Linked DNA regions of Schizosaccharomyces pombe. The gene in region 2 interacts genetically with the main gene of each other region. Each region holds a gene or a part of one and is shown on either strand. Other genes may lie near its edges. The genes, in order: swd3, nur1, ani1 and mms19.

Evidence for each region.
Region 1: mutations in nur1 (region 2) and swd3 together harm fitness more than expected from each alone (negative genetic interaction), as found in Schizosaccharomyces pombe (2 studies listed by BioGRID).
Region 3: mutations in nur1 (region 2) and ani1 together harm fitness more than expected from each alone (negative genetic interaction), as found in Schizosaccharomyces pombe (2 studies listed by BioGRID).
Region 4: mutations in nur1 (region 2) and mms19 together harm fitness more than expected from each alone (negative genetic interaction), as found in Schizosaccharomyces pombe (2 studies listed by BioGRID).

What each region holds. Positions count from the first base shown.
Region 1 is NC_003423.3:546,462-550,729, reverse strand, and holds swd3 (Set1C complex WD repeat protein Swd3), read right to left. Parts: upstream 2,367-4,268; 5' UTR 2,061-2,366; coding exon 918-2,060; 3' UTR 501-917; downstream 1-500. Other genes in the region: SPOM_SPBC354.04 (uncharacterized protein), read right to left, coding at 1-434; translocon alpha subunit Sec61, read left to right, coding at 3,764-3,773, 3,818-3,885, 3,939-4,051, 4,108-4,140, 4,266-4,268. UniProt on the Schizosaccharomyces pombe protein: The Set1 complex specifically methylates 'Lys-4' of histone H3.
Region 2 is NC_003421.2:447,346-455,149, forward strand, and holds nur1 (protein nur1), read right to left. Parts: upstream 4,419-7,804; 5' UTR 4,071-4,418; coding exon 3,120-4,070; 3' UTR 2,864-3,119; downstream 1-2,863. Other genes in the region: SPOM_SPCC4G3.12C (ubiquitin-protein ligase E3), read left to right, coding at 1-2,384; DNA repair protein Rhp42, read left to right, coding at 5,024-7,084. UniProt on the Schizosaccharomyces pombe protein: Has a role in meiosis.
Region 3 is NC_003423.3:4,061,889-4,066,460, reverse strand, and holds ani1 (FKBP-type peptidyl-prolyl cis-trans isomerase), read right to left. Parts: upstream 1,942-4,572; 5' UTR 1,905-1,941; coding exon 819-1,904; 3' UTR 501-818; downstream 1-500. Other genes in the region: sporulation specific PIL domain protein Meu14, read right to left, coding at 1-44, 86-167; deoxycytidyl transferase Rev1, read left to right, coding at 2,303-4,572. UniProt on the Schizosaccharomyces pombe protein: PPIase that acts as a histone chaperone. Histone proline isomerase that increases the rate of cis-trans isomerization at prolines on the histone H3 N-terminal tail. Proline isomerization influences H3 methylation thereby regulating gene expression.
Region 4 is NC_003424.3:3,854,479-3,864,592, forward strand, and holds mms19 (TFIIH regulator Mms19 ), read left to right. Parts: upstream 1-3,739; 5' UTR 3,740-3,944; coding exon 3,945-4,413; exon of another isoform or gene 4,414-4,456; coding exon 4,457-4,599; exon of another isoform or gene 4,600-4,645; coding exon 4,646-4,749; exon of another isoform or gene 4,750-4,794; coding exon 4,795-7,086; exon of another isoform or gene 7,087-7,152; coding exon 7,153-7,201; 3' UTR 7,202-7,240; downstream 7,241-10,114. Other genes in the region: protein Rng8, read right to left, coding at 1-267, 322-382; protein Sil1, read right to left, coding at 7,241-8,257; signal peptidase subunit Spc2, read right to left, coding at 8,523-9,026; ribosome methytransferase Hpm1, read left to right, coding at 10,045-10,114. UniProt on the Schizosaccharomyces pombe protein: Key component of the cytosolic iron-sulfur protein assembly (CIA) machinery that mediates the incorporation of iron-sulfur cluster into apoproteins specifically involved in DNA metabolism and genomic integrity.

The DNA.
Region 1 (4,268 bases), on a different chromosome or scaffold from region 2:
TTGAGCTTATCATTAATGAATGTCCATCTTTTCAAGGTATTCTCTACCAATCCGTCAGCACGGGGTAGTAGATTCTTGCCTACGACCTTGGGTGCAAACAAATATGGAATTAACATAGGGTGTGGAAGAGGCGTTAATATCACCAAATAAACAAACATTAAGTTTTTATCATAAGGATAGGGCTGTACGGCGGATAGAAGAATTTGTTGAACATGATCAAAGTCGAAGCTAGTCATCAACTCAATTCTGTTTACCACAGTATCCGTGTCTTCATCTAACATAACACTGTAATTCTTAACATCTAAGGGGATCGCTTTAGCACCTACTGACTCTAACCTTCGGAGCTCCTCTTCAACTTTTTCAGCAATCCAACTTTTTGCTTTCTCGTCAACCTGCAAACTGTCCAAATCCTTATGTGCTGGGTTTTCACTCATTGAAAATCAGGTAATACGTTTTTTTCTCAATTATTTTAAGTTTGACTCGGCCAAATGATTTAATTCGAAAAAAGTTTTACCTTATTAGAATATCAGTAGTGGTAAAGGAATAAATATTAGGAAAAAAAAGTAAAAAATTTATCTCCCTTTAAAATCTGTCGAATTAAACTAGATGATGAAAATTAGTAACAAAATGAATATAACTGGTTTAATAAACGAGAAAAATTAGAAAAACCATCAATTTCAGGATATCAACTTGGCCGACATTCGTTCTTCGAGAAATCTTCTGTAAAGAATAATCGAAGACTGTATAAATTAATTTTATCTTCTATGTATCGATCCACTTAAGTTTTCATAGGCCAACTAGCCTTTGGATTGGAAGTAAGGAGCTTGTTTTCGCACGTAAACCTTTAGCATCATTATCTTCATCGTAATTCCAAGTAGTTTCTTTAAACTTTATACATTATTTGTCAACAATTCAGGTTAAGGTGAAAAGCCATCTTTCTCGTGCTTCGACAATAGAAGAGAAGGAGCCCAAACTCGTACATAAGGATCAGTTCCTGATGTGATTATGAAAGGACCTAAACTGGTTACATTTAAAAGTGATGTTTCTGGATCATCGGAATGCCTAATTGAATCGTCAATAATTATTTTTGTACTCGGATCTGTAATTTGGATTGTTCCATCTTCACTAGGAATTAAAAGATAAGCATCGTGCATGAAAGATTCTGCATCATCAGGGTAGGAAGAGTCATTATTGGGTAAAGCTTCAGTATTTTTAGGAATATTTTTAGAAGAATAGCAATCCCAAGACATAGAATATCTTGTATTCACGTGGCTATCAAATATTCGTACCACACGGTTTCGGCGATAATCCCAAAGACGGATCTGTGAGTTAAGATTACTTACAAGCAGATATTTTCGATTTTCTGTAAACTGGAGATTAGACAAAGGAACATTAATGGGTTCAACTAATGTTTTTAAACACTGGCCACTGAGAACATCCCAAATTCGTGCCATTCCATCATAACTAGCAGTCGCACATAAAGTTCCGTCAGCTGATATAGAAACAGATATAATAGGTTCTGAATGTGCAGGTAGCATCCTAAGGCAAGTTCCATCTTGAAGATTCCATATACGGACAGTCTCATCCCATGATCCTGACACCAAAAGCGTGCCCAATGGATTAAAGTCAATTGATGAAACGTAATTTGTATGACCTTTTAAACATCTCACACTGCACCGTTTTTCAAAATCCCAAATCCTTATGGTCTTATCGTCAGAAGCGCTAGCTAGATACTTACTACCAGTTGCCCATTTTACTTGAGATATTCCTCGGTAGTGGCCGAAAAGTGTACATTCAAGTCGAAACGTAAGTGCGCTCCAAATCTTTATAGTTCCATCGGATGAAGAGGTAGCGATCCATCGTTTGTTAGGGGAAACGCTGACACATGTAACACTTTTCTCATGACCGAAAAGAGTACAATATTCAGAGAATCCTGAATGTGATTCATAATTGCGAATGCGCTTATGTATTTGCTCCTCATCTTCCTCTACAACACCTTTCTGGTCTTTTTGTACTTGCAGGTCGTGGTTCAAAGGAAATTGTTGAGCTGTGGAATCCATCTTCTAATATACGATATGTGAAAAATTATCAGACCGATTGTTTGTACTTCTCGTAAAAATGGACTAAAGACAAAAATCGTATCAGGAAGTATTAAAAGGTTTATTGAATGATCTCAACAATCATAAACAAACGCCTTTGTCTGATAGTAAAATCGATCAATTTATTTCCTCTTTCTAGAGTCTATGTACAAGAAAAAAAGTTCATGGGCTTTTTGCATATGTAGATTATAAAATTACAATGATGCCAGTCAATTTTTTAAGCATCCAGCTTTATTGTATGCACAAGCAGTAACTGGTGTGGACAACGAAGTGTATAACATTCAACTAGCAACATACCACAATAATGACTATTTAAAAAACGCTTTTCTTTGGACTTATATTAAATAACTCAATAATTTGACTCGTCTTCAATAAAGTTTACAGGTTCATTTTCCTCGCAATTCACGTCGAAAACTACTCTGCAAAGGATATTCAGGAATATTGTCATTTTTAAGCCATTTAGTTCAAAGACTTAATAAATGGAAGTTTACTACAAATTGTACAATAATTCACGCATTGAAGTTATGAAAAAGCTTAGGGAATGAAGAAGAACGACTAGGCTCCTTTTACTGAAACGTAAAGTTTACAAGGAATTAATACAAAAACTTTTTTCTGATATTGCTCACTAATTTGACGAGGGTTCAATACTCTTGCGCTAAGGGTACGATCTTCGTACTGAGACATATCCTTTGAAGTTTTGTAATCTTCTAGTCTGTGAGTAGGCTAGTCCAATTTCTCTCCGGCCTTGCATTCATGAAGCTCCTGCTTGTTTGAAAGATACTAAAAAGAGGTTTCCTTATAATGAACCAAAATACGTTCTTTGCATAATGTCCTCATTCAATTAATATTGACTTTGATAGCTCCTTCGATATCAAGTTTTCCATTGCTTAAAGTTCTCAATAAGTAGTGTCTGTGATTCATCTCTCAACTGACTTCGAATGAGTCAACTCATAACTTTCAGAGTGATGCAAATAATTTAAGTTAAAAATGTTTCACTCTCGTTTGTCCCAAAGTTTTTTTATCCAGATAGCTGTTGTTCCACAGAAACATCTAAATCACGTGGATAGTAATTGCAAGAAAGAGGCTAACACTTATGAACAACTAGAATTACTTGTTGAGGTCATGAATTGGTAATCAATTTATTTGATCCAATCTCCCAATTACAAATTGGTAAAACAATATTGTGTTTTCATTTTTTGGTGAAACAGTTGGCATCTTAGATCGGTACACATATTAAGCCTTTCATCATAGCCTTTAGTTCCCTTCTTATTCCATATTAAATTAATGATCTTGATTTATTAGTCAACCTTGTTGCCTGGGTCGTAATGGAAATCGCATCTCCTTTTAATCCCTATGTGAAGTAAAATCATTTCAGCAGTTATTATTTTGAATTTTAATCGGCTTAAAAAACTTCTCTAACGCTTGTTAAATGGGCAATTCAGGCATTCATTACAGCTTCAACAAATGTTTATACTGGTATTATAGCGTATTTATTAACTATATAATGAAACGAAATATTTACTTGTTATCGCATTTAAGTGAATAGTTATCTCCATCGTTCTGCTGCCTTAATTTAATTCACCACCAAAACCTCAGTATGATACTTCACTGTCAACAAGAACCAGCAAGTTTAGTTGGGCAGAAATCTAATTAAATTATACAATATGAGTGATTGTAAGACCATGCTTTATTTCTTATTGATTTCTAACACTATACAGTACGATTTCTGGACCTTGTAAAGCCTTTCGCGCCATTCTTACCGGAGATTGCTGCACCCGAACGAAAGGTATGTAGCATATGTATCTCATAAGAGACATCGAAAGCTAATATCGAATCTAGGTCCCTTTCAAGCAAAAAATGTTATGGACTGGAGTCACCTTGTTGATTTTTTTGGTTATGTCTCAAGTACCATTATATGGAATTGTCTCTTCAGACTCTTCGGATCCTTTGCTGTAAGACTATTATTTTTGTTTAAATTTTAATTTTCTAAAGCTAATGACTTTTTCAGCTGGCTACGTATGATTTTAGCTGCCAATCGAGGGTATGTTTTTAAGAAATATGGATGAGTGAAGGTATTGTAACCATCACTGACAAGAGATTACTCTTTAACTTCCTTATTTTTCATTTTTTAAAAAATGTGTTTATGCATTTACTAACCATTATAAGAAC
Region 2 (7,804 bases):
GAGTGAAGTTGCTGTGGAAAAGGTACACAACACCTCTGTCAACTGAAGACGGTAGTCGAGAAGCACATTTTGCTGTTCCTAGTGAAAATTATGCCGACACTCCATCTCGCAATACCCCAAATTCTTCGAATGGGTTCCCTTCCGAAACCCTGGTTACCTCATCCGCTCATTGTTCCACCCAACCTCATAAAGATGAAGCATATTCACATCATGGCTATTCAAGTACAATGGCGTTAGATGACAGTAGTCTAGCACAAACTTATCATGAGTATGAAGAAGGCACCTCTGGAAACTCCCCATTGAGGAGAGCGATTGGCTCTTATGATTTTCTTCATCCTCGTCCGTCCGGTAACTCCTCTCGTTTGGATAGGAATTCGTCACGCCCTTTTACCTCCTCCTTCCATTCTGCTCCATTTTTAAGTTCTTACGGCTCATCAAATGACCCTTCTCAAGAACGTGTAAACGAATATTCACTTCCCTCAAATTCAAATTCAACTTACACGACACCTCTTCAATCAATTAACAACGAACATCCCCTTCCCACTGTTCTGGAAAATAATGCTCTTTTAAATAACTCCGGTAACTCCCCTTCTTTAATAAACCATTTGCGTCAATATCTTAATCAAGATTTTAGTCGTCTACATCAATCCCCTTCACCCATCCCTAATTCTAATGATAATGACTCTCAAACCCGCCGGTCGTCTTGGTCATCTATCGCTTCTGCATTTAATGACTTTCCTGAAGAATTTCCGAATGCCAGCAATCCTGAAGCGCATTCGAATTTTACACCTCTTAACGGTAATGATGAAAGCACCGTCAATATGCTTAGCCGGTTACTTTCTGCTGCTGCCATTGAAACAGTTGCTTCAATTATGAATAGCGAAGCTAGGAATATGGACTCCCAGAATATGGCAAACGGTGAACCATCTCGCTTTCGTTCTGTTGATGGTTCATTTGAACAGTTCTTAACCGACCTTCGTAGTGGAAATTTGACTAATGTTCTTCAAAACTCTTCTCAAAATGGAAATGATCAAATTTCTTCTGACCCTGAGTCTAATTCCTCAGACCTTCAATACTTAAGGATGTTCCGTTTTCCGTCGTTTCATCAGTCTCACAATCAACCTGCCTCTAATAACGAAGCTTCAGATACAAATGGACCGGCTTTGGTGCCTGTCCTTATCGTTTGTATGCGTAGCATTTCCGAGACTTCCGAGGATCATGCGCCAACTATGACTCAAGAAAATCAAAGCCTTCATAACGAGAGTAGAGAAAACATATCCATTAACGATATAACCGAAAGAATGGCTCAGTCCACTGAATTTTCCACTGATCTTCCTCCTACATTCGAGAGAAGCAATTCAACTTTTTCACATCCTGAACCTACAAGAAGTGACTTTAGCCAGGCTTTTACGCCGGTATCCGATTTCCCTGCAAATCTTTTTCCTGGTTCCAGAAATTTGTTTCCAACGTCCAACTCGGGTAATCAATCTACTTCTTCGTTTTCGCGCTACAATCAACCTACTGTTTCCGTGGATTTAAGGAATTCAAGTATACTAAGAAGAGCTCAAGAACCTGTAAATGGTTCAACTGGAGAAAATCACATTGGAGATGATTACATTTCTTCATTATTGGATAGTTCAAATTCCAATTCACAACGACCGTTTTCAACAGTGCCTTCTGAATCAAATGTTTTTTCGAGGAACGCCTCCGGCAATTTCTCGATGTCACAAACTCATCAGCCGACTACCGATAATACCTCCTCATTTTCCACACAGCCTGGAAGGTTATCTACAGGACTCCATCATTTTCCGTCTGATCGAGATTTACTGTCTAATCAAACTAGACGTTCTAGCTTAGCACGGAGCTATAGATTTGAGGAACAACTTTCTGTTGATGATAATACTAGCGACTTTAGTACGTTGGCTTCCAATGGGGCTGCCGACATGGTTACTCAAACGCATTCAGAGGGAACTTTCTCTAATAGCACCCATGGTGATTGGCTTATCTATGTGTTTGGTGGTCTGTTTCCAGAACATCATCCAGTTTTGTCTACAGTTAGCTTGTTTAGCGATAATCCCATGTATGAAGACTTGTTGGCTCTTACTACATACCTGGGTCCAGCGAAGAAACCAGTCGCTTCTCATGAAGATGTGAAACGATCGGGCGGACTTTTTGCATATTTCGATGATGCTTCACTTTCTAGTGCTGATTCTTGTCTAATATGTTTAGAAACTTATACTAACGGTGACATATGTCGCAAGTTGCAGGCTTGTAAACATTTTTTCCATCAGGCCTGCATCGATCAGTGGCTTACCACTGGTAATAATTCCTGCCCGTTATGTCGGGCTCATGGGGTTACGACACAAGCTGAAGAGGAAAATTAATTTTGACTTGAAATTAAAGCTGGCCTTATTCTATGTTTGTTCACTCTCATTTATTTTCCTTCATCCGTCAAATTTGTTGAATAATTGTTCGCACTATTTGCTTGTGAATGAAATCTACATAATAGCTCTTCCCATTTTTATGGCTGCTATAACCTAAAACTGCTTGACCTTGTTCAACTATCTCTTTGGGACTTTCTCATTTTTCTCATTTATGACCTTATTGATAAAATTTTTGTAATTTTCTACTTGCTGCACGGAAACGAATTGTTTTGTTGTGCGTCTTTTGTTAGAAATAACAATTGCCTTTTTTACAAAGCTGAGTTTTTTCTAAAAATCATTTTAGTTAATCGGTTTGCACGTTTAATATAATTTATTTTCCTTTTAGAAATTTTGCTTCGATTTTTACATATTAGTTTAGATACAAAATTGATGCACATTATCACTTTTAAATATATTTTCTAACAAACAAGAGTATTCATATTTATAATCATGTAAGGATTTTAATAAGAGATCATATTGAATAAGCTTAAATTATAAGGATTTGGTTCTAAGTCGATCATCGAAAGTTTTTAGAATGACGGTGTTTGATACCCTAATTAGTCTTCATGAATACAATTATTTCAGGTCTGAATTGAGTTATGACTTAAAACTTTTCGAAAATAGGAATTAACAGAAACAACAATGATAAATGGAAATGCAGTGGGTCATTCAAAAACCATGTAATTCAGACAAATATTAAAAGCGAGAACTACCATCACTAAGATGTGGAAATCTCTTAAATGGTGAGCTGCTGTCACGACTAATTCCGCTGTCATGAAGATGATGAACACTTCTTCTTTGAAGCGCTATAGGGGTACGGGGTGTTGAAGTGAGATGATCATGTGAAGAACTTCGGTGTTCAAGGAAGGTATCTATGGGTTTTCGGGGTGTGAAATATTCAATAGATGCGGTTGTGGGACCACGAGTAGTATTAATGGCAACATCTCGTTTAACTACCGAAAGTCGAGGTTCTACAAATTTCTTATCATACTCAAAGAATACCTGGCGATGAAGATATTGTTGATCTTTCAGCAGTAAGGAAAATTTATTGACAAAATGCAATGTTGTAAACGAAAGGAGAAAAGTCAACAAAGTCACGCGTAGAGAAGTGCTATAAAACCATAAAATCAAGGCATGAGCAGGAGAAAATAAGCAAGCAAAATTTAGTAAAAATTGATTTGGGCTCCATACTTTCAATTCAAAAACTTGTTCATCGCCATCATCATTATTTGAGTGCTGGAAAACTGGTTTTACATTGGGAGTAGAAGTCGTCGTGCGTTTGTCTTGAGGCAAAGTTCTATACAGCTTATTTTGAAATCGAGTGCTAAATATGAAATTGAGAAAGCTGATGAAAAGAAAACAAATTGAGAGAAATGATAGGAAGGCACGAAACCAGGACCTAGAGGTGTTGATGGACTGCTTATCCACAAAGAGCTGGTTGCGTTGAACTGGTACATGCGTACTTTTTATATAAATGCGCATTAAGAGAAAAATAAAATTGACAGCCAAGCTAAAGGGAATCGAATAACGATCTGATACTTTATCCCACTCTACACTGTCAAATTGTTCGCAAACATAGATAAAGTAATCGATCGGAAGATTGATTATTTTAGAAGTCAGCGATGTACGACGGATTAACTTTCCCATTGAAAAGATTTTTAAGCAATGTTTTGAAATTCAGGTGTACTTTTTGAGTATAAAACAACGCCGAATTAGAAATGAAACAAACCATGGACCTGAAAGGTAAATTCCGATATTCGTATACTAATGAACGAAATTAGGGCACTTCTCCGTTTCAGGATTCAAACCTTACGTATTAATTAGAGTAGCAAAGGCTTTTTAATTAGCTAGGTCGAGCTTGCTATTATCGACTTCAATTGCAACAATGAAGGATAAAAAGTTTTTTATTAAGATAACTTTTTAAATCCGGTACGTAAACAAGTGTGCAATAAAAAAGAAAAAAAAAAGAATTTGCTTTCGCAGGTTGATGTTCCTAAGTATTGGTGTTATTGATGGTTTCAACTTTACCACTACTACTGCTGTGCAAAATCAGTCGTCGATTTAAAATTCCTATTTTTAGGAAATATAAGCTCGATCAGTGACATAAATTTAAACAGTTTCGTTTGACGTTTTACTAATTAATGAATTATTTCCTTAAAATTTAACGGCTGAAGTTTTTTTTGACTTATGTTTATTGTCTCTTATTAATAGTGATGCATGTGGTTTAACTTTTTATTTAATAATTTATTTTCATGTTATGTTTCAGATTTAAATTTTTTAAATCTTTATTTCACGGTTGAAATCAAAAGTAGTTAATATAGCTCATAATATTCAGCAAACAAACTACTCGCCATTCTTGCGCAGTTGATACTGACCTCTTTTTCAAAGGACTTTTTAATAATCATCATCACAGCCATTGTTAGAATTTTGCTTTCTTGTTGGAGAGATTGCTTGAAATAATAATTCTTTAACTAAGAATATATCAGATGTGGCTGTGATTACAACTTTTTATTCAATTTATCGTTATTGATATTATTTGAACCAGCGGTTAAACAAGCATTATCCTAAAGTTGATTCAATTCACATAAACTCTTTGCTCAATGCCACCCAAACGCAAAGCATCCAAGAACTCTGTTCGCGGAAGGAAACGTAGGACACGGACCAATAACTTACCTCTTAATCCTGAAGTGAAAGAGGAAACTGTTGTATCTTCAACTCACCGTCAAACTCGTAGCCAGTCGAAAAAGCCAAGTTTGTCTTCCTCAGCGGAACCTCCTTCTGAGAGTTTAGATGACAATATATCAGCGTTAAACTCACTTCAAAGGAGCGCATCTTCATCCGAAAAAGGTTCCGATGAAGACAATGAGAAGTTAGGCAGCTCAGAAGATGACGAGTTTGACGACGATTTTGACACTTGGGAACAAGTTGATCTTTCTCCTAATAAACAAGAAGATAAAAAAGATTTACACATAGTCACACAGCATATCACTCCTCAACTTACAAAAGAATCGAAGAAAGGCTCTTCTAGTGCAATGGATAAAAGCATTCGATTATCTATTCACATTATGCACTTTACTTGCTTGTTGTACCATGGGTCAGTAAGGAATCGCTGGTTAATGAATTCCTTACTTCTTGATGGGCTGCGCGATTTGCTTGTCGAAAAGCAACCGTCCGTAGTGGAGGCGTGGGTTTGTAGTAGCCAGACGCACGAGGATTTGTTAAAATTGTTAAATGGGCTTCGGATGTGGTGGAATAAATCTTTTAAAATTGAGAGTCATGGGCTTCGGAAGTTGGGGTATCGTACTTTGAAACAAGGATTTGATATCGGCTTTTCGCCAGAAATATTTCATAACTTTCATGAATACCAAGCATCCTTACTTTCGCTAAAAGGAAGCCGGGATTTGGCGGCACAGGGATTTACTGCTCTCTGTCGATCTCTGAATCTGAAAGCAAGACTTATATTTTCTCTTCAACCTTTGACATTTTCTACTGCTTCCTATGATGATTGGTCTCCACATATCCTCCCTGAAGAAACTAGTACATCTATAGATGACGACCTCCGCTATCCTATTTTTTGGACGGAAATCTATGATCAAAGTGAGAAGAAATGGATTGCGGTAGATGCGGTTGTCTTGAATGGGGTATATACCAACGATATGACTTGGTTTGAACCCAAAGGAGCGTATGCAGAGTCAAAACATCTACGAATGGGTATTGTTGCTGCATATGATAACGATTTATACGCAAAAGATGTAACTTTGAGGTATACAGATTACCAATCAAGTAGGCTTAAGAAAATTCGACACGTTTCTTTTGCAGATAAGTATTTTGATTTTTATAAGGCTATTTTTGGGCAACTAGCAAAGCGCAATAAAGATGCAGAGGATATATATGAAGAGAAAGAACTGGAAAGTAAAGTGCCCATTCGCGAACCTAAAAGCTTTGCAGATTTTAAGAATCATCCTGAATTTGTATTGATTAGACATCTTAGAAGAGAAGAAGCATTGCTTCCTAACGCCAAGCCTGTGAAGACAGCAACCTTTGGTAACGGTAAGAAAGCTACCTCTGAGGAAGTGTATCTCCGAAAAGATGTGGTCATATGCAAAACGCCTGAAAATTATCACAAAGAAGGACGAGTAATTAAGGAAGGAGAACAACCTCGAAAAATGGTGAAGGCGAGAGCCGTCACAATTAGCAGGAAGCGTGAACACGAATTTCGGGTTGCTGAAACAAATGAACCAGTGCTTCAGGGTCTATATTCTTCCGATCAAACTGAGCTATATGTTCCGCCTCCAATCAAAGATGGTATTATTCCTAAGAACGGTTATGGTAATATGGATTGTTTTGTTGAGAGCATGATCCCCAAGGGCGCAGCACATTTGCCATATCGAGGAATTGCTAAAATTGCCAAGAAACTCAACATTGATTATGCGGATGCAGTTACAGGGTTTGAATTTCGTAAACATCGTGCGATTCCAGTTACTACAGGTATAATTGTACCTGAAGAGTCGGCTCAAATGGTTTACGAAGAATTTCTTGAGTGTGAAAAAATCAGAATAGAGAAGCAGCAGATGAAAGAGAGAAAAATTATTTATGGGCAGTGGAAACACTTGCTAAATGCACTTCGTATTCGAAAGCGTATTGAAGAACAATATGCTTAATTCCTGGCTTTCGTCGGACACTTTAGGGTTTGTATAACCGGATGTGTGTTTTTTGAACAATGAGGATACTTAATTCCAAACGTTAGACTCATTTATTTATTTATTGTTTTGCAAAATTGACATTTGGTTATTTGTGAAGTATTTTATTTATTTAAAGGAAAAAGAGGAAGCAAACTACCAAATTATCTAATATTTTATTGATTTAAAAAACCCCAGATTTTTATAGCACTATTTTTCATATTGGTGGATCACACTCTATTTTTCGCTTTATAGATCACCCAATTGCATTACCTTGCCAATCGTACTACAAATTTTTTGTTTGAAGGAACAACGACTTAATAAAATAAAATAAAAATAAAAATAAAAATTTTCATTACACGGTAATATCCAAGTTGCTTAAAAATAGCTAAGTCGTAAATTTTATTAAAAAATTAGATATATTCATATAATATTAATACTTTTTAGCATTTTTTACGAAAAAGATGTAGTAAATATAGTTTAGAAGGAATCTTATCATGAGTGTTGCTAAGTACCTCGGTAACCTCGATATTATGGTATCATGGTAGGCCCATTTAACACCACCACGCTTTGTTGCAAAAGCGCGTACTATGCATATATTCTTGGCGTTTACCAACCACGCATTTTAGTCATATAGAAAGTGGAGCATAAGAAATCTGGTTATTGAAAGGCAATTATTCATTCAATTACTCAAAAATCTCC
Region 3 (4,572 bases), on a different chromosome or scaffold from region 2:
GTCATCTGCATGAGATAGTTCTTTTAACTTGCTGATCGAAAATTCTATGTCATTAACTTATTTATCACACCAATTTATATCTTACTATTTTTATTTAAACCCTTCACGAGACCGTTTTCTCTTAAAGAGCCTTTTCTCTGCATTTTCAAGTTGCTTGATTTGGGCATGTTGATTGTTTACGTTTCAGAAAAATATATGCCCGCCTTAAGATTTGCCTGTAAACAGAAGCACAATTTTCAAATAAACAATATAGAAAAAAGACAAATAATAAAAATAATTCTTTAAATTCTAAAACTGCTTGTTTTTTTTTAAGTTGATTATTACGATAATTAATTTTAAGAATTTCGTAAACAAACAGCTGTTTGTAGACTTATTTAGCGATAATCAGATAATGGCTCTTTTATTATCAATATGTTTTTTTTTACTTTTAATAGAGTTTTTCGGAATGTTCTCGTTTATATTTACTCAAACTCAAAATTCCATAATTTAAACATCCTTAACTAGTATCGATCAAGGAAGCGCTATTCTCTTTTCTCTTAATGCTCATACACATACAAACAGCTCTTTCTAAAAAATTGTATATTGATTATATCTCCTTTATCACCCAACAATCCAAATCATCCAAAAGTCCTATATCCAAAGTGTTTGTAACACTTAACTAAAAAAAAATTTCCTAACTCAAATACAAAATGATACCCTGATTTTTTTTGAAACCTAAGAAAAAGATAGGCGATAAAAAGAGTTAATAGAATACATAGTTTAATCCGCGATCTTCTTAAACACGGGAGTTAAAGTATGTTCATCTTCAACATGAAAATTTAGTGAACGCGAACAAGCTTGACTTCAAAAACTAAGGTAGAATTCTTGGGAATTCCTGGAATGCTCTGGTTGCCGTAAGCCATGGGAGCAGGAATTGTAATCTTACGCTCACCGCCTTCTTGCATTCCAGCAACGCCGACGTCCCACCCGCGAATAACCTCACCACGACCAAGGATAAAAGCAAAGGGTTTACCTTTAGTGTTTTTGTCAAAAACCTTTCCATTTTCGAGCTTCCCAATATATCTCATTTCAACTTTTTTCCCATTGGTAGCAGACGCACCGCTCCCAGTTTTAACATCAGTTACAACCACGCCTCCTTTTAAAGTACGAGTCTTGGGACTAGAAGGTGCATTAGAAGAAGCTTGTTGCTTTTCTTTCTTAGCAGCGGGACCAGTAGGTCCTTGTTCAAGTTTTTCGGCAAATGCAACCTTCTTTTCCTTAACAGGGGTACCCTCAACCTTTTGCTTCTTGGTATTGTTTTTCTTAGGAGAAGCAGCCTCTTCTTGCTCGGATTCATCCTTAGTACGTTTTTTTTTAACCTGTGCCTTTTTAGCAGGAGCTGAATCCAATTCATCCTCCTCAGATGCTGAATTATCTTCCGACTCAGATTCCTCTTCACTTTCCTCATCACCGCTGACAGTCTCGACAAGATCCTCCTCAGTAGGAGACAAATCGTAATCCTCGTCAGATTCTTCCTCTTCCTCATCTTCTTCGTCAACCAAAAAGTTACCAGACAAGTGGATGGTTGCATCGCCAGATGCACTGAAGAAGACTTCGTCGCCAGGAGTAATGGTCAAATTTAAAGGCTGTTGGTATAAGGAACCAGGCTTCAAAGTACATAAAACAAATTCACGCTGGCTTTCTTCCAGAAGCTCTTGCATTTGTTCGTCAAGTTCTTCGTCATCTTCATCTTCAACGGGGATACGGGGACGAACCTTCACCAATAAAGTAGTTGGTTTATTAGACTTTTCGCCGGCATCAATGGATGCCATAGTCAAATGAATAGATGCATCTGTAGATTCCTCCACAGCGGGAACATCTTTTCCCTTTACCGAAAGACTATAAACAGCAATTGGAAGAGACATGACTTATTCTTGCCTAAGAGGTGAGGTGGTAGAGGATGTAAAAAATTTTGATACATAAACCGTTGTGTATTCCATTAAGTAAGGGTAGTGCGTATTACCGCGATTTGCAAATTATACTCAAAATTAATTAAATTTGGACGAGCGTGCATCACAACAAACGCGTAGTAATTATTTTTGATATTTCGTTGTTTTTTACTTTGAAATAGTTTGGCTTCACGAGTTTTGGGATAAGGTTAAATAATGAAAGAAAAAAGCTCTTGCAGTTAGTTTTTCTTTATAAACATTGTTTGTTTATTAATTACACTTTTTCCGCTTAAGTGGCTACATTATTATTTGTATTATTTTCCTTTCAGAAACATATTAATACTTATATTTACTGAAAGTGAGAAGCGCGCTGGATGGCTTTTAATCAAAGGAAGCGTCGACGCCCAGTAGGGATTGCAGACTTTGACGAAGCAAACGATGAGGCATACGAAAGTGTTGGGTTCCACGACTATGCAGATTATTTTTCCCGGAAACAAAGAAAGCTTCAAAATCAAAATGCCGCTCTATACAAAAGTATTGATGAAGATTCTAAATCTGATCTCTTTCATGGACTTGCAATAGCGATTAATGGATATACAAAGCCGTCTTATACCGAATTACGGCAAATGATAGTTTCAAATGGAGGTACTTTTATACAATATGTTGATGGAAAAACAAGCATATCATATTTGGTGTGTTCATTTCTCACTCCTTCCAAAGCTCGCCAATGGAAGCATCAGAAAGTGGTTAAACCAGAATGGATAGTGGATTGCATCAAACAGAAGAAAATTCTTCCGTGGATAAATTATCGTACCTTTCAAGCTTCATCGGCTCAAGCTACCCTTTCTTTTGTCGCCTCTAAACCTAGCCAACCCGAAGGTAACTTAGAAGATATTCAAACAAGCTCGCAGGAAGAAGAACATGATAATGAAAAAGATAAAACAAAAGAGAGTAAAGCAAAGGGATTTTTAGATGATTTGAGTGGATTATCAGCGTCTTCACTGCACAACTATCAATTGTTAAAAAATCCCAATGTCCGAAATTCAACCACTCAAAATCAAGATTTTCTTGAGAATTTCTTTAGCTCCTCTCGTTTACATCACTTAAGTACTTGGAAAGCTGATTTTAAAAATGAAATCCAAGCAATGACTACTGCTTCTGAACCTGTTCGTCCAATTATGAAAGATAAATCAAAAAAATCTCGTTTCCTTCTTCATGTTGATTTTGATTGCTTTTTTGCTTCCGTTTCAACACGCTTTTCTCATGAGCTACGACTGAAGCCCGTTGCTGTTGCTCATGGTATAAAAAATTCCGAAATAGCTAGTTGTAATTATGAGGCTCGGAAGTTTGGCATAAAAAATGGTATGTACGTTGGAACAGCTAAAAACCTGTGTCCTTCATTACGGGTTGTTGATTATGATTTTGGAGCATACGAATCTGTTTCTAGAGAATTTTACACTATCCTTGTTAATACACTTCACGACTATATTAAGGTTATAAGTATAGACGAGGCTCTTCTAGATATAACTTCTAGTGTTTCATCTTTTCAAGATTGCTTTGAGATTGCCGAGTCTATCCGCTCGCAGGTTCGCGAGAAAACCAATTGCGAAGTTAGCGTTGGTATTGGCCCAAATGTTCTCTTAGCAAGACTTGCACTTAGGAAGGCGAAGCCTCACAACGTTTATTCTTTGTCAATAGAAAATGTTTTTGATGTATTGAGTCCTTTGTCTGTTCAAGATTTACCAGGGGTGGGCTCTTCACAAGCGCAGAAACTTTTTAATTTGTACGGTGTGCGTACTATTGGGCAGCTGCAAAGAATTGAAAAATTCAATCTTCAAGAGACTTTTGGGGTAAATTACGGTCTGCATTTATACAATATTTCCAGAGGAATTGATACCGATATAATCAATAATGAAACCCCACGGAGGTCCATATCCGTAGATGTTAATTGGGGTGTTCGTTTCGTTTTTCAAGAGGATGGGATAGATTTCTTAAAACGGTTGCTTCATGAGTTGCTTTCCAGAATGGGTAAATGCCAAGTGCTTTTGCATCAAATTCAGCTTCGGATTTTGAAAAGGGCTGATGGAGCCCCTTTCAGTCCACCAAAGTACCTTGGAGCTGGGGAAGTCACTTCATTTACAAAATCTTCAACTTTTACTTCTGCTACTAATTCGTTTGACTTAATATGGAAGAAGGTGACCTCAATGTATAAAACAATTAATGTCGATCCAGGAGATGTACGTGGTATAGGATTACAAGCTCTCAAAATTATTAAAGACAACTCTAAAATTAGAAAAGATTACCGCTCTATACAGAGCATAACTTCTCGAAATAAAGTGTCGCTAAAAGGTGCATCTGTTGACATATCAAGTAAAGATAAAGAAATAATTAGTCAAAAGAAGCAGCTGTCTCCAAAACTTATTCCATCAACACCGTATGATCTGCCGTCATCTTCTCAAATCAGTTCCAGTGCTCTAGCTCAATTACCACCTTCGATGCAGTCTGATATACAGCAGCAATTGAGGTTGCAAAAGCGAAGTATTACGGAATATCCAAGCCAGTTAGATCCTTTGTTTATGGTTGAATTACCTACTCCTATAAGAAATGAAGTAAACGATAATCATGAGATTGCCATGAACAAACG
Region 4 (10,114 bases), on a different chromosome or scaffold from region 2:
GCAAGTTATTCTTCGCTGACTCCAGCTCCTTCCTTTTCTTTCGCTCTTGCATAAGTAAAATAGAAACCTTGTCTCCTTCTTTCTTTAGTCTGTCGATTTCGTTTTGCATAGTAGCAATCAATTGACCAGAAGACGGTTTTCTAGATCCTGTTTTTGCATGGTCATGAGGTACTCCTCTACCAATATACGTTGCCTCAATATGATCTGTCAATTTTTCTAAATCATTTGCCATATCTTGGAGCGTCGAAACTTCTTCCTTTCTATTTTCTGGGATCGCTATATTAGCGTTTGCTTGAACTATTATTTACTTATTTCTCTTACCAATATTATCATGAACTTGCTCGATTTCATGTTCTAATTTTTCGGATCCCTCTAAACCCATTTTTTACATTAAATAAAAGAAAGAGAAATAAATATGAATTAGACTTGCTTCATTGCAAAGGATAAGTTGCATCCTTATTTTTCATTCATTGTCCTAAAGCATTCATTTATTGCACGGTAAGTCTCAGTTGGACTCGATAAACGGTTTAAGAGGGTGTATCAATCATTTAGATGAATGCCAAGATTTGAAGAAAATAGTATAATTATGGAATTATGGAACAAATGATTATTATTCTACATTATGTGTATAGACACAAAAATTTACTTTTAACAAGTCTTTCTCTTTAGTTTACATCCCACTCTTAGAAGACCATGGTTTATTTTAATAATAAAATATGCCATTCTATCATCGATGAAAATTGAGATTTGTATAATAAATAGTTAAATTTTAGTGCGCCAAAAATTAAGGGCTCATTTATGCTTTATACAGACTTAGTTTTTATAAACGTTTGCTATAAGTAACAGCATTACATAAATAGCAGAGGGCTAAATGCTGGCTAGATAAATATGAATGTAAAGTATGTTAAGAAATATTGAAAGATTACTCTCATTTCCAATGCAGGATTAAATGAAGTATATGAACAGATTTTGCATATATACCAAAAAACTCCAATAAACAGAGTGGTGATTAGCCACAGATACATTTTTTCTGTCTAGGTATGAACAGAACTTTATTTTATCAAAAGATGGTGCATTAAACATTTAGCTTTTATTTCTCCTTGGCTTTCCAATGAAATCCCACTGCGACCCAGGAAAAACAAGCTTTCTAGGAAGTGTTATCTGTAGCGGAAGGCTCTTTCGTTTCCTCTGATTTCACAGACTCCAAAAACGACGGTCGCCAACGATTCAAAAGCTTTGCGGCGGAAGCTTTAACATCTACATTCTCTTTCCACATCGTCTCAAGAATATCAAGGCATTTTTCACGTACAGGTTAGTCGAAACATTATTAAATACTGAAAAGTCATGAAACCGAGCTTCGTCTTATCGGGATCAAGACATACAAATTTAATTTTGTCAACTATAGCATCGGTGAGTTCTGGCAATTCAGACATAAATATCATAAAAACTTTATCTTTTGCCTCTAAGTATGGTAAAATGCTGTCTATTACTTTAAGGGCCCATTTTTCATATTGTGGACCTTCCCACTTAACATCCTCATATTCATGACAATCCGGATTTTCAAGCATTAGTCGATCATTATACCATTCCTCGGATAACCAGTTCAATATTAAATTTGTACTGGAACGCCAGTTAGATGCAACGTAAGTAAAAAGCTGCCCTCGAACAAATGAAGACAAAGTGAAAGAAGCATCTCCAGATTCCTCACCAGACGTTACAGGCTGATAATTCAATAAGCCTCGCGTACAAAGTCGTGGTAAGAGAATTGCCCAGTGACGCTTATCCCATACCGTATTATCCACATTTTCCAACGTTAAATTTTGAAGGTTAGAAGAAGAAACTATGCTTCTTTCAAATTGAGGAGCATAATCAAATAATCTGGATAAGGCACCGTGAAAGTATTCTAGAATAGCCATCGGGGACAGCGAATCTGGAGTGGGTAATTCAAACGCATCAGTAACGACATTGGAGGGAGCACTTCCCTCTAGTCGAGCTGCTTCACGTTCTACACTAGCATTGATAGTCTGAACATCTACCTCAGGCGGTTCATAATCCTCGTCCTCGTCTTCATCAACTTGTTGATCAAGACCAAGGGATTCAGGCTCAGAGAGAGAGCGCACTCTCTCTCTCAACATATTAATTTGCTGATGAAAGTAGTTTTTGTCTATCTTAAGAAGAGAAGTAAGTACAATTTCAGTAGCCACTTCAACCGGAATTGAAGTTACATCAAAATTTGCAAGAGGATTTATAGCAGTTTGTGAAGCAAATATGCTGATTAAGGGATTATTTTGCAAACCATCGTGAGAGCTAAGTTGGGGTTGCATTCTTTCTACAAGACTTTGTACAGCAGAAGACTTAACACGCTTAGAGGCAGCACTAATATTTCCCTCATATTGCCGTTTCTTCAAACTTTCATCGACTTTGGTATGATAAATTTGTCCGGAAAGATAAGCGTGAATTTTTTCGACGGAAGAAGAAGATGCACCTGTACTCTTAGCTAAATGAAGTAAAATAAGTTTTAGATTTTTTTCAATACACCGTATAGCTAACTTGCTTTCGTTCGACAGCTCAATTTCATCTTTTGGATTCGGAAGATGAAATTCTAACAAGCTTCCTATGATTTTTGGTGCTAGTTCCTTCCGTCGCTTCACCAAAACCGGTAAGATATTCAAAACGCTAGTAATGTAAAGGACATTCAAAGAATCCGAGAAAAGGATGGAAAATATTTTTTCAATTAAGTCATTTGCTTCTATTCTGAGGATATTTGAATTGATAAAAGGATGATGTGTGGGAACCTTAGAAAGAGACACGTCCGATTTAGTTACAAGACGGGGATCTCGAATCCCAGGCACTTGCGTTAAAATTACACAAGAAATAAATTTAATACAAGAAATTAAAAGAGGCTTGTTCCCTTTGTCAAAGTCATTAATGATTTCGTTTTTTAGCTTCGTTAAAGTGTCCCAGGTAGATGAATCGTTAGGTGAAGTACAACAGTGCAGAAATACTAGTGGGTAGATTGTGCAAGAACAAGATATAACGTCTTTTTTAACTTCTTCATTATCTACTGCGTACAGAGAAACAATTGTATCTAGACAAGTTACAGCTAAATCCAATTTCTGCTCAAATTTAACATTTTTGCTCGAAAATCCAAACCAGAGGAAATTTGCCATCCATTTTTTATACCTTATATCAGAATAGTTTGCCACAGAAAGAATGTTTCTCACGATTTCTGGAAAAAGGCTTTGATCAGTTTTAACAATATCTCGAGCCTGGTTTAAACGAGTAAGATGTTCGTCTGTCTCCGAAACTTCCATACCAGGACTAACAGAGAATTTAAGATGATAATTATATTAAATACTTATATGCTTATTGATCAATTTCTCAAGTAAATGTTAAAACTTTGCATCCTCTTTTTACTTTGCTGTCGGTTCAAATTTTGGTAAGAGAGGGAATACATAGCGCAGTGGTTTAAGGATCGTTAATATGTAGTGACTATATATAACGATGGAATAAAGGTTTTTGTGTATGATTGTAAAATCTTGAAGTAGAGATTTGCTAAAAAGAAACAAATTTTTAAAAAAAGAAAATAATATCCGATCTTTCTTCTAATTTCTTTAATTCATGGATTTAAGCAATTTAATTTACACAAATTCTTATCAGATTATCTAAATACTTTAATTAGTTTAACTTCGCTTCGGTAAAGAAAGCATACATAGCAAATGACATTTTGCAATTTGCCATTGTTAACCACATTTTCTGAGAGACGTTTCAACGATCTACTGAGGAAGAGTGCCGTCTACCTACTAGCTAGAAGAAAGTCAGCTTCGAAAAAGAGGACAAGGTTTCTAATCTCTGCTTCTCAATTTTTGAAATTCTGTTTTTTCTTATAGTGTTTATTGTATAGAAAATTGTTAGCATAATAGTACATATTAAATTTGAGGAAGATGAGCTCGAATTTAGTGGCTTTATATTTATTTTCTATTGATAGAAGTCAGGATGAGGCAAACGACGTTGTAGATCGAATTGTCGAAGAAATTGTCACTGACAGAATGGGGATTGTCGATTTGGTTACTTCAATTGGAGAGTATTTAACTGACAACAATATCTCTGTTAGAGCAAAAGCAGTTTTATTACTGTCACAAACTTTAGGTGAGCTTCCTAAAGATAGACTTCCTGCGAAACATGTATCTGTACTTCTTCAGTTTTACTTGAGTCGTTTGGATGATGAAGTTACAATGAAGGAGAATGCGTTAGGTATTGGAGCTCTTCTAAACATGCAAAACTTCCCTGCTCAAAAGATTGTGGATGTTTGTAAGGCTCTCTTCAGTTCCACTGACATGCCAAAATATGCTCAAGCAACTCGTTTAAACATTTTAAAAGTATTTGAAACCATTATAGATAATTATCTTTTCTGTAAGGATCTTTTTGGAGAGTCATCAATTAACTTAGTTCTCAGTCATCTCTTCACAAACTCGCGATGCTTTCTTCTCTGGAATTTGTTCAACTTTTGCTGGTGAGAAAGACCCTCGTAATCTTATGCTGGTCTTTTCTATGCTTAAAAAAATACTTTCTACATTCCCCATTGACGGATTTGAACAGGTATGGATCTCATTGTTAATCGCCTAATGAAATTACTTACATGTAGCAATTCTTTGATATCACTTATTGTTATTTCCCGATCACTTTCCGTGCTCCGCCTGATGCCACCAATTTGGCTATTACTAGCGACGATCTTAAAATAGCTCTCCGGTAAGGCATCATGACATGTGAACTATTGCTAACCGTCCTTTGTAGAGAAACCTTGGTTGCTAACGACGCGTTTTCAAAATTACTTCTTCCTGCTTTATTTGAAAGGCTGAAGGCTTCAACTGTTCGCATAAAAATCGATGCATTAAACATTTATATAGAAGCTTGCAAAACTTGGCGCGTGGGTGCTTATTTATGGTCTGCTAAAGACTTTTGGGAATCTATTAAGCAAGAAATACTAAATTCGACAGATGCTGAACTTCAAAATTTGGCGCTTGGTGCACTCAATACTTTAGCTAGTAAATTTTATAAAGAGGAAGGGTTTTCATCTTCGTTCACAGAGTTTGTGGATATGATTTTGATCCAATTATCACAGCGTTTACTCGAAGATGTTAATGTTAAATCTTGCGGATCTTGTGCAGCTGTATTTGCTTCCTTGGCTTCTATCTCTGTGGAAACATTCAATTATTGTTCATGCAATTTTTTACCCAGTGTTCTCGATCTACCAATGGTAAATGAACCATTGGAGAAACAAAAAGGGATGCTAGTTTTTTTGGAATACGTCTATAAATGTTTGGTACTTTTATACGGAAAGTGGAGAAGCAAAAACCAGGCTGATATTGACAACCCGCTACTTGTTTACAAAGACAAGCAACTTAGTTTTGTATCAGGCTCCTTGATGGGAACAGCCAAAGATGAAACTGAAATACGCATGTTGGCTTTAAAGGTTATTTTTTTAATGGCTTCGATCAAGAACTTCCTAACAGAGAGTGAATTAACCATGGTACTTCAATTTTTGGATGACATAGCATTTGACTTTTCCGATCCTATTAAGAAAAAGGCAACAGAATGTTTGAAGGATTTAGGGTTACTAAAGCCCGACTTTTTACTTTTGACTTCATTTCCTTTCGCATTTTCAAAATTAACTGATGATGTTACTGCTAAGTCATCTTCTGAAGAAACTTTTAAGCAATATTTATCGGTACTAGTCTCAATATCTGAAGAAAGGAGTTTGTTTAAGGCCCTTGTCATCAGACTTGTTGAGATGTTGAAAGATCAATTTAAATCCAAGGAAATGAGTGTTGATCTTGTCGAATCAATTGTTCAAAGTTTATCCGTTGCCTTTAAGGAAAGAAATGATCGAAATGAACAAGAGATTCCATTCTTTTTTGAAGAACTACTGAAGCAACTTTTTACCCTTTGTTTCGCTAATTGCGAGTCAATGAATGTGAGATGCCTTATTTATGTATCACAGACAATAAATGAGATAGTGAGAGTAAACCATTTTGAATTTCAAGAAAAGTTTGTTGGTCAATTATGGAAATTATATATGGAGAATTCCAATTCCGACTTAATTGAAACTGAAGGTTGTGAAAAAGCTGCAGAAAGATTTACGCTTGCAGCATCTTTAAGTGATCAGAAATTTTTAAATTTAGTGGTATTATTACAGGGTGGTCTTAATGGATTGAGTAAAAAATTACATTTTATCGAAAAGTTGAATATTGAGTTGTTGAATTTACTCATAAATGTTGTTTTTGTTACGGAAAGTCCTGGCGTTAAAATTAGCGCTTTACGTCTCATATCCTCGCTTATTAACAAATGTGAAAAAGACGAAGATATATCAAGTTTTATATCTTCGAAGGGAGTCACGTCTTTGTGGGATAAAGTTTATACTGGAACTCCAAAGGAATCTGAAGCTGCACTCGATGTGCTGGCGTGGGTTGACAAAGCTTTGGTCTCTAGAAAGCATAGCGAGGGCATTCCTTTGGCTTTTAAATTATTGGATACTTTGAATTTACAAAATGTCGGAGATTCTTCGGTCAAGGCACTTTCAATAATTATCAAAGACGATCCTGCGTTGTCCAAGGAGAATTCATATGTCGAAAAGCTGTTATACAAACAACGTTTTTACGCTAGTGTTAGTCCTAAGATTTTAGAACACATTTCAACTGCTACTGGAGGAGAAAAGTCTTTGTATTTAATGCTTCTTTCTAATGTGATAGGAAATGTGCCAAAAGAAATTGTAATTCCAGATATGCCATCTATCCTTCCACTTCTACTTCAATGTCTTTCACTGTCTGATATTAGTGTTAAACTTTCGACGTTGAACGTTATACATACTTCGGTTAAAGAATTGACTTCATTATTGACGGAATATCTTGATACTTTAATTCCTTCGCTTTTGGCAATCCCTAAGGATATGAATAATCCAACTGTTGTTCGTCTTTTAGCCCTTAAGTGTCTTGGAAGTCTGCCAGAGTTTACTCCTACCACGAATTTACAACTATTTAGAGATAAAGTAATTCGTGGACTCATACCATGCTTGGATGATCCTAAAAGGTAAGAACCATTCATTTTTAGTGAAAAGAATAACTGTTAACTACAAAATGCTAATGAATAATATAGGGTTGTAAGGACTGAAGCAAGTCGAACTCGTCATAAGTGGTATATATAAAGAGAGATTTTGATAAGTCATTTTTGAAAAATAAAAACGTTAAATATTGTATTTTTTAGGCCAAGGAAGAGATAAAGCTTCTTTTATAATTAAATTAAATTCAGTAGCAAGATCTGGATCTTGATAAATTAATTTATTTTTGTACGCCAAATTTTTATCGTTTAACCATTCATAAAAGTTAACTTCGGGACAACTCTCACTAACACTTTGAATTGTTGATACGGTGTTAAGTAGAACCTCGAGCGTTGAAATTGAGCGTAAATGCCAATTATTCATCAAGTACTTTTGAAAGATGCTACACCAAGTCGAAAATACCCACTCTATTGGGATAACTTTAGAAGCTTTGCTAAAATTGACATTTTCCAACGAACGAGCAATATTTTCAAAGATGATGGACAACCTACTTAGCAGTTTCTCCTGAAAAGCAGAAGGAATATCAATATGGCTGTTTCTCGACCAAAAATCATACAACTGAAGAAGAATAGCCGATCCTAAATCTTTACTAATGAAAGCCTCAGATAAAGGAAAAGATTGGACAGATTTACTTAATAGGAAAAGTTTCTTCAGTAATGTAACTGGGTGGTTTTCCTGCCGTAAAGTGTTCACAATTTTTGGCATAATATTCATTTCTAAAGCCTTTTTCTGAGCTATGAAATTATTGCTAAGCGCTGATGCCAAAACAACAGACGACATTGAACGAATCGTATTTGGATAGTCTTTCCCATCCATCAAAACAAAAAGTTGATCGCACAGAGGCTGTTCAAGTACATCCTGACCAAATTTTATATCATGAGCCAAATCACGCATTGTTTCTAAAGACGACAACACAATGCTTGGGTCTGAAGTATCAGGATTTAAAATTACAGAAGATGACTGATCGAACAACTGTCTATCGTAAAGTGAAACAGATGAATCTGAGCTTACAGTCCTCACATTCAAAAAAAGGTAACATATTGCAAGAAATAGATTCGACAAAGAGAATGTTAAAGTAAAAAAAATTCTGTAAATTTGAGTATTTCTTTTCTTTTTAGACGAGTTTCCCAGAATCGAAAACATTGAACCGATTAATCTCCAATTTTTTCACTCCTGTTAGAGAGTGGTTTATGGTAGGATAGATTTCAAGAAAAAAAAATCCATAGCATGATTAGGCAATTGCCGCTGGTAAATGGAAAACGTAGCAATAAAATTCATGTTAAAAAATAAGAATACGATACGGACGTTGTGGCAGGCATGGAAGCCTTCTAACGAAAATGTAGTAATTGAGTATTTCGCTTTTTGGCAACAACTCAAATTGAGAATTGATTAAAAAAATTGAGCTCAATCAGTTTTCAATTTGAGACAAGTACTTTGAAATTTCCGCCTCAAAAGTTGCACTTGATATTTGGCCATCTTCTTCAAAAATGTGAGCAACAGGAACCGACCATTCAAGTTGAACAGCATTTCTGTTTTTGAGTACGGTAAATTTAGTAGTGATTAGAGGCTTATTTTTCAAAGGTAAAAAGGTATCCGCAGAAATTTTGATGTGTCTTTCTTTTTTCGTAGCAACATAAACAGTACTACCCTTGACTACAGAAGACCAAAATGTGAGCAAGCAGGAAGCTAGGAAATATAAAGGTAAAAGATACTTTAAGTAAGATTTTAAAACACCAAAACCATAAACATACTCAATGCCAAATGCGAGGCCGGCGGGTATAATGCAAGCTATTGCGATCAGCAAACGAATATCTTCAAATACAAAGGATTGCTTATAACCATTTTTGTTAAAATGGTTTGTTAATTCTTTATCAAATTTAGATTTGAAATCTGAAACGTTATATTTTGGCATTTTTACTATTAGCTTAATTATGGTAGAGGAAGCAAGGCTGTAGTTACTGATGATCAGATATGCGGTTTCGTTGATACGATGGCATGATGATTTTTTAAAATTAAGTAACCTAAAAGATGTTTTAATATTTAATATAAATGCCTGAGAGCAAAAACATGAACTCCGCTACTGGAACGAAAGCAAAACAGTCGATTACTAAGTACTTTATAATACTATCATGCTCTTTCAAATACAACGAGCCATAAATTTGAAATAATAGCCAAATAAAAAATATATATGGATTCTCAATAGAAATTGGCGGAAGGGTTTCATAACAAATTAATTTGGTACAAAATATCATGCTCATTTCCTTGTCTCGATAATAATATCAGAATTGCAATCGCAATGACTGTTGAAAAGGATTATGAAATGGAAAATGTTGTTTGAATGTAGCAGTACTTGGCGTTTAGTAAAAAAATAGAGGAGTACAATATTGATATTTCCTTTCGCAAAACCTGTTTGTTCCAATAGTGATATCCCTCGATGAACATATTCCTCGCTTTTATTTATTCAATTTTCACTCGCTAATTGTAAGTTATTATGCAAATGAAGATAAGGAACCCGGTACAAACCGTTTAACAAGCAATTGCTATTTTCTATAGGAAAAGCTAGATTGCAAAAACTACAAAGCATATTGATTTCGTTTGATACAAATGTTTTTTAGGCAAGACAGAGCCACTTGCGAGGGCTCCAATCCTAAATCCAATTTCTGAAATTCGCCTTTTTTACAAATAAAATGTATGAACGAATTTGAAAATGGAACTTTTCTCTCTATCCACGAGTAATGATTAATTAACCATTCAATAAACTTTTAACCTTAATTCATTGTAATTACTCTTTCTTTACTCTTCACATTGGTTTTGCTATTTTGTCTACATGAACGAGTCGTACCGCTGTACGCAAAAATCCTACACTAGGATCAAGACATACAATTTCTACTAAAGCCAAGACAGGTTGCGAAATCAATCAACTTGCAAATATGCAAGCTAATGGGTTTTCGTTTGGCTTTTACGATGAACCAAACAATTTAAACGGCCAAGATGTCGGTG